Linked DNA regions of Xenopus tropicalis. The protein of the gene in region 2 purifies or fractionates together with the protein of the main gene of each other region. This does not show direct contact. Links are inferred from orthologs where the notes say so. Each region holds a gene or a part of one and is shown on either strand. Other genes may lie near its edges.

Region 1 (3,985 bases), on a different chromosome or scaffold from region 2:
AGGGTGAGTCCCACCCTGAGCACCCATTCAGTGACTGACAGGAGGGTGCGGGGTCCCTATGCTAACAGCGGCCTTGGGAAATCCAAACCACTAGCAGAGAGTGGCACAGCTGGGTGGCACCGGTGCCGTCCCCGGGCTGGATCTGGTGCCCTCCCCTGGCTGGATTTGGGCCCTCCCCTGGCTGGATCTGGCCCCCTCCCCGGGCCGGATCTGGCCCCCTCCCCGGGCCGGATCTGGCCCCCTCCCCGGGCCGGATCTGGCCCCCTCCCCGGGCCGGATCTGGCCCCCTCCCCGGGCCGGATCTGGCCCCCTCCCCGGGCCGGATCTGGCCCCCTCCCCGGGCCGGATCTGGCCCCCTCCCCGGGCCGGATCTGGCCCCCTCCCCGGGCCGGATCTGGCCCCCTCCCCGGGCCGGATTTGGCCCCCTCCCCGGGCCGGATCTGGTTCCCTCCTGAAACCCATTCTAAACTGCCCCACAGAGGTTTCCCTAACAGCCTTCATGGCTCATGGGGACAGGGATGTCTCCCCAATGGGCAAGTGATTATGACCAACTGCAACCTGCCTGACAAATGTGCCTTTCCCCTCACAAGAGAAAGTTACGTTAAGGTTCCCAGAGATCAAGAGTTGGTCTTGAAAATCCCAGCAGGAAAAACAGACTCTGGTACCAGCTATGGGCCGCCCAGTGGTACTGTAGCACCCGGGATGTACTGGGGCACTGCTAATGTCCAGGATCTGCCAACCTATACTGGTCCCCAGTACTGGCCAAGGTCTGACAGGGATCACTGAGACACTGGCACTGCCCAAGGGATGAACAACACATAGAAGTGTTTTCAATGCACAGTAGCAATGGCAGTGCCCACGGTCTGACCGGCTCTAGGTGACTGGCACTCTGTGCCCTGTGTCTGACAGGCTGCAGTGTACCATGGGGCTATTGGCACTGCTTATAGTCTAATAATCTTTAGTGGTGACTGGGGGGCTGCCTGTGCCAGGGTGGGACTGGGGGGCTGCCTGTGCCAGGGTGGGACTGGGGGGCTGCCTGTGCCAGGGTGGGACTGGGGGGCTGCCTGTGCCAGGGTGGGACTGGGGGGCTGCCTGTGCCAGGGTGGGGCTGCCTAAGGGGGGACTGGGGGGCTGCCTGTGCCAGGGTGGGACTGCCTAAGGGGTGCCAGGGTGGGACTGCCTAAGGGGTGACTGGGGGGGCTGCCTAAGGGGTGACTGGGGGGCTGCCTAAGGGGTGACTGGGGGGCTGCCTAAGGGGTGACTGGGGGGCTGCCTGTGCCGGGGGGGCTGCCTAAGGGGTGACTGGGGGGCTGCCTGTGGCGGGGGGGCTGCCTAAGGGGTGACTGGGGGGCTGCCTGTGCCAGGGTGGGGCTGCCTAAGGGGTGACTGGGGGGTTGCCTAAGGGGTGACTGGGGGGCTGCCTAAGGGGTGACTGGGGGGCTGCCTAAGGGGTGACTGGGGGGCTGCCTAAGGGGTGACTGGGGGGCTGCCTGTGCCAGGGTGGGGCTGCCTAAGGCAGCGTTTTTCAACCACTGTTCCGCGGCACACTAGTGTGCCGCGAGATGTTGCCTGGAGTGCCGTAGGCAGGGCACCAATGTACTAGGGGGGCACTGCTGCTGGGCACCAATGTACTAGGGGGGCACTGCTGCTGGGCACCAATGTACTAGGGGGGCACTGCTGCTGGGCACCAATGTACTAGGGGGCACTGCTGCTGGGCACCAATGTACTAGGGGGGCACTGCTCTTGGCACCAATGTACTAGGGGGGCACTGCTGCTGGGCACCAATGTACTAGGGGGGCACTGCTGCTGGGCACCAATGTACTAGGGGGCACTGCTCTTGGCACCAATGTACTAGGGGGCACTGCTCTTGGCACCAATGTACTAGGGGGGCACTGCTGCTGGGCACCAATGTACTAGGGGGGCACTGCTCTTGGCACCAATGTACTAGGGGGGCACTGCTGCTGGGCACCAATGTACTAGGGGGGCACTGCTCTTGGCACCAATGTACTAGGGGGGCACTGCTGCTGGGCACCAATGTACTAGGGGGCACTGCTGCTGGGCACCAATGTACTAGGGGGGCACTGCTGCTGGGCACAGAGTTAAATTTTTTAACATTTTCTAATGGTGGTGTGCCTTGTGATTTTTTTCATGAAACAAGTGTGCCTTTGCCCAAAAAAGGTTGAAAAACACTGGCCTAAGGGGTGACTGGGGGGCTGCCTGTGCCAGGGTGGGGCTGCCTAAGGGGTGACTGGGGGCTGCCTAAGGGGTGACTGGGGGCTGCCTAAGGGGTGACTGGGGGGCTGCCTGTGCCAGGGTGGGGCTGCCTAAGGGGTGACTGGGGGCTGCCTAAGGGGTGACTGGGGGCTGCCTAAGGGGTGACTGGGGGGCTGCCTGTGCCAGGGTGGGGCTGCCTAAGGGGTGACTGGGGGGCTGCCTAAGGGGTGACTGGGGGCTGCCTAAGGGGTGACTGGGGGGCTGCCTGTGCCGGGGGGGGGGCTGCCTAAGGGGCACTACAGGGTATAGTAAGCACTGCCCACTTGCCCAGGGCCCTACAGGCTAAATGAAGGGTCGGGGCAGCCTGTAATGGCCCTGAGAGGAGCGGCTAATGAGGCCAAGAGACAGGCGCTGCGGCTTTGTGTGAAACAGCGGCACATGATTGCGGTAGAGACGCAGAACCCCTCGGAGACACAAGGGCCGCAGGGTGCGTTAGAGCCCCGGGCCGGATGGCGGAGGATGGAAGCGGATTGCACACTCACCATCATCTTGCTGAGCGGCGCCGGGTATAGATTCACAGAAGCCGGGTGCTGCAGTTCCCACAATGCACCGGGAAGGCCTTCCGGAACCTTCGGCAGCCAACTACCAACGGCCGAGGGGCTGGGCGATAAGGGGCGTGTTTAGAAGCTGTCGCCTTGACGACGCGGCTCGCCCGGCTAGGGCATGATTTCACCGGTTGCTAAGTTGGATTCTACCCTGTTCGCCCAACGTAGTTATGGTTGTGGCCATGTAATGCGTTCATGCTCAGGCGCAGAGAGGCTGGATAGTCGCACTGGGCTCAGAAATACCTGACAAGCAATGTTTTACTCTCAGTCATGTTGGTACACCCAAACAAGCGGGCTAATTCCGCTACGCCATCTTGGTACACCCAATCCCTCAGCGCGCAAGTGTGCTGTCATTGATCGGTATTAAAGTATTATAATATTTACTTTTGTCTGCCTGCTACTATCTGCCCTACCCTGTAACATGGGCAATGTAGCCGGAGGAGTAGTGGAATGTCGCTGGCTTGGATGGGAAGTAACTACTGTGATTTTTATTTATGAAATAATGTGCAGATGGGCAGCTTAACTCAAGTGCTGGAACATTTATTGCGTAAGGAAAGTCATAAGGCAATGTGAAGTCCCCCGGGCTTTTCCCAGTGGAACGTCCCCTACGTTCTAAAGACTGTGTGAGGGCTATACCATTCATTGCCGTGGGGGGAAGTTTAGGTTAAGTGCTGGAGCATTTATTGCATAAGGAAAGTAATAAGGCACTGTGACGTCCCCCGGGCTTTCCCCAGTGGAACGTCCCCCACGTTCCAAAGACTGTGTGAGGGCTATACCATTCACTGCCGTGGGGGGGAAGGTGCTTCCCCATGTTGCAAGCTTGGTGCTGAAGACGGACACACACGCTTGTTATTGGATTCCTGTGTATTAGACGGAATTTGGTAATTGGTTGGTGATGAAACGGGGAGCCAATGAGAGCCGCTGATCTGTACCAATAGGATGAGGGGGAGGGCGGAGCGCTGCATTGGCAGACATGCAAGGTGGTGTGTGCAGGGGCTGCCAGCTGTTCCTTACATTGGTGCTGCTGTTGTGCCCTTCCTTGCCTGTCAGGGGTAAGTATAAACGGCATACGGGGCACTGGTTGGTAGGTGTGCCCAGGGGCAGCTGGGGCACCCATGGGTGAGGGTAGAGGCTAATGAAGGGTAAGCATTTGGGCAGCTAAACCA
Region 2 (4,045 bases):
ACAATTCCCTGCTCTCTGTCCCACACACACACACACACACACACACACACACACACACATATCCAGGTATCCTTACCCACAATTCCCTGCTCTCTGTCCCTCACACACACACACACACACACATATCCAGGTATCCCTTACCCACAATTCCCTGCTCTCTGTCCCTCACACACACACACACACACACACACACACACACACATATCCAGGTATCCCTTACCCACAATTCCCTGCTCTCTGTCCCTCACACACACACACACACACACATATCCAGGTATCCCTTACCCACAATTCCCTGCTCTCTGTCCCTCACACACACACACACACACACACATATCCAGGTATCCCTTACCCACAATTCCCTGCTCTCTGTCCCACACACACACACACACACACACACACACACACATCCAGGTATCCCTTACCCACAATTCCCTGCTCTCTGTCCCACACACACACACACACACACACACACACACACACACACACACATATCCAGGTATCCCTTACCCACAATTCCCTGCTCTCTGTCCCTCACACACACACACACACACACACATATCCAGGTATCCCTTACCCACAATTCCCTGCTCTCTGTCCCTCACACACACACACACACACACACACACACACACACACACACACACACATATCCAGGTATCCCTTACCCACAATTCCCTGCTCTCTGTCCCTCACACACACACACACACACACATATCCAGGTATCCCTTACCCACAATTCCCTGCTCTCTGTCCCTCACACACACACACACACACACATATCCAGGTATCCCTTACCCACAATTCCCTGCTCTCTGTCCCACACACACACACACACACACACACACACACAACACATCCAGGTATCCCTTACCCACAATTCCCTGCTCTCTGTCCCACACACACACACACACACACACACACACATATCCAGGTATCCCTTACCCACAATTCCCTGCTCTCTGTCCCTCACACACACACACACACATATCCAGGTATCCCTTACCCACAATTCCCTGCTCTCTGTCCCACACACACACACACACACACACACACACACACACACACATATCCAGGTATCCCTTACCCACAATTCCCTGCTCTCTGTCCCACACACACACACACACACACACACAACCACACACATATCCAGGTATCCCTTACCCACAATTCCCTGCTCTCTGTCCCTCACACACACACACACACACACACACACACACACACACATATCCAGGTATCCCTTACCCACAATTCCCTGCTCTCTGTCCCACACACACACACACACACACACACACACACACACACATATCCAGGTATCCCTTACCCACAATTCCCTGCTCTCTGTCCCACACACACACACACACACACACACACACACACACACACACACACACACATATCCAGGTATCCCTTACCCACAATTCCCTGCTCTCTGTCCCTCACACACACACACACACACACACACACATATCCAGGTATCCCTTACCCACAATTCCCTGCTCTCTGTCCCTCACACACACACACACACACACACATATCCAGGTATCCCTTACCCACAATTCCCTGCTCTCTGTCCCTCACACACACACACACACACACACACACACACACACACACATATCCAGGTATCCTTACCCACAATTCCCTGCTCTCTGTCCCTCACACACACACACACACACACATATCCAGGTATCCCTTACCCACAATTCCCTGCTCTCTGTCCCTCACACACACACACACACACACATATCCAGGTATCCCTTACCCACAATTCCCTGCTCTCTGTCCCACACACACACACACACACACACACACACACACACACACACATCCAGGTATCCCTTACCCACAATTCCCTGCTCTCTGTCCCACACACACACACACACACACACACACACACATATCCAGGTATCCCTTACCCACAATTCCCTGCTCTCTGTCCCTCACACACACACACACACATATCCAGGTATCCCTTACCCACAATTCCCTGCTCTCTGTCCCACACACACACACACACACACACACACACACACACACACATATCCAGGTATCCCTTACCCACAATTCCCTGCTCTCTGTCCCACACACACACACACACACACACACACACCACACACACACATATCCAGGTATCCCTTACCCACAATTCCCTGCTCTCTGTCCCTCACACACACACACACACACACACACACACACACACACACACACACACACACACACATATCCAGGTATCCCTTACCCACAATTCCCTGCTCTCTGTCCCACACACACACACACACACACACACACACACACACACACACATATCCAGGTATCCCTTACCCACAATTCCCTGCTCTCTGTCCCACACACACACACACACACACACACACACACACACATATCCAGGTATCCCTTACCCACAATTCCCTGCTCTCTGTCCCTCACACACACACACACACACACACACATATCCAGGTATCCCTTACCCACAATTCCCTGCTCTCTGTCCCTCACACACACACACACACACACACACACACACACACACACATATCCAGGTATCCCTTACCCACAATTCCCTGCTCTCTGTCCCTCACACACACACACACACACACACACACACACACACACAGTAGCTGCTGGGGAGGGATACTGGGAGTTGTAGTTGAATACGGACCAGGCCGCACTACAAGTGACGGGAGTCCCAGCCAGTGACAGAGCAGAAGGAGCCGGAGGGCCCCCCCCCCAGCAGACACACGGCCCGGGGGCCACTCACCTTCCCCGATCTTCTCCAGCTTCTCGTACTTCTGCATGATAGCACCGGCAGGCCGCCCTCACTGTTCCACTCAGTACGCATGCGTACAGACCCGCCCCGGAAGGAGACTTCAGCCAATCCAATCTGTGCTACTGGATTCCCCTCTTACTGAGCGCTGTGCGGCAGGGTTAGCCCCGCCCAGTCTGTCACGGAGAAGCGGTTACCATGGAGACAGTAGGAATGGGACGCTTTGTGGGGGCGGGGAGGCGGCCATGTTGGTACACCCATCTATGCAGCTTTGTCCCCTGCAGTAGCGCTGTCCTTTCCTTATAAAGCTGCTAATAGTGTTTGAGAGAGAAATAGGGGTGGGAGTAGGGCACTGAGCTATGGAATCCTGGGGTTATTGGCCTCACAATGCGCCTACAGAGGGATATGGCGTGTTGCTTTGTGTGTATCAGGCTGAGGGGTAGAGACCGGTAACTACCATACAGCAGGGTACAGACCTCTCCCTCAGCTCTGTGACATCACACACGGGGTGCCGGAGCTCCATGACGTCACACACGGGGTGCCGGTGCTCCATGACGTCACACACGGGGTGTCAGAGCGCCATGACATCACACACAGGGTGCCAGTGCTCAATGACATCACACACAGGGTGCCAGAGCTCAATGACATCACACACAGGGTGCCAGAGCTCAATGACATCACCCACAGGGTGCCGGTGCTCCATGACATCACACACGGGGTGCCGGTGCTCCATGACATCACACACAGGGTGCCGGTGCTCGATGACATCACACACGGGGTGCCGGTGCTCCATGACATCACACACAGGGTGCCAGAGCTCAATGACATCACCCAGAGGGTGCCAGTGCTCCATGACATCACACACAGGGTGCCAGTGCTCTATGACATCACACACAGGGTGCCAGTGCTCGATGACATCACACACGGGGTGCCGGTGCTCCATGACATCACACACGGGGTGCCAGGGCTCAATGACATCACCCACAGGGTGCCAGTGCTCGATGACATCACACACGGGGTGCCGGTGCTCCATGACATCACACACAGGGTGCCAGTGCCCTATGACATCACACACAGGGTGCCAGTGCTCGATGACATCACACACGGGGTGCCGGTGCTCCATGACATCACACACGGGGTGCCAGGGCTCAATGACATCACCCACAGGTGCCAGTGCTCGATGACATCACACACGGGGTGCCGGTGCTCCATGACATCACACACAGGGTGCCAGTGCCCTATGACATCACACACAGGGTGCCAGTGCTCGATGACATC

What was found. The genes of interacting proteins can lie anywhere in the genome.
Region 1: the proteins of cdk5 (region 2) and cct7 purify together in Homo sapiens (affinity purification with mass spectrometry; 3 studies listed by BioGRID and IntAct, with this or other methods). This does not show direct contact. The link is inferred for Xenopus tropicalis from reciprocal best matches to the Homo sapiens genes CDK5 and CCT7.

The regions. Positions count from the first base shown.
Region 1 is NC_030677.2:16,900,310-16,904,294, forward strand, and holds the start of cct7 (T-complex protein 1 subunit eta), read right to left. Parts: upstream 2,801-3,985; 5' UTR 2,763-2,800; coding exon 2,757-2,762; intron 1-2,756. Other genes in the region: pradc1 (protease-associated domain-containing protein 1), read left to right, coding at 3,793-3,871. UniProt on the Homo sapiens protein: Component of the chaperonin-containing T-complex (TRiC), a molecular chaperone complex that assists the folding of actin, tubulin and other proteins upon ATP hydrolysis.
Region 2 is NC_030682.2:1,367,061-1,371,105, forward strand, and holds the start of cdk5 (cyclin-dependent-like kinase 5), read right to left. Parts: upstream 2,829-4,045; 5' UTR 2,799-2,828; coding exon 2,762-2,798; intron 1-2,761. UniProt on the Homo sapiens protein: Proline-directed serine/threonine-protein kinase essential for neuronal cell cycle arrest and differentiation and may be involved in apoptotic cell death in neuronal diseases by triggering abortive cell cycle re-entry. Interacts with D1 and D3-type G1 cyclins.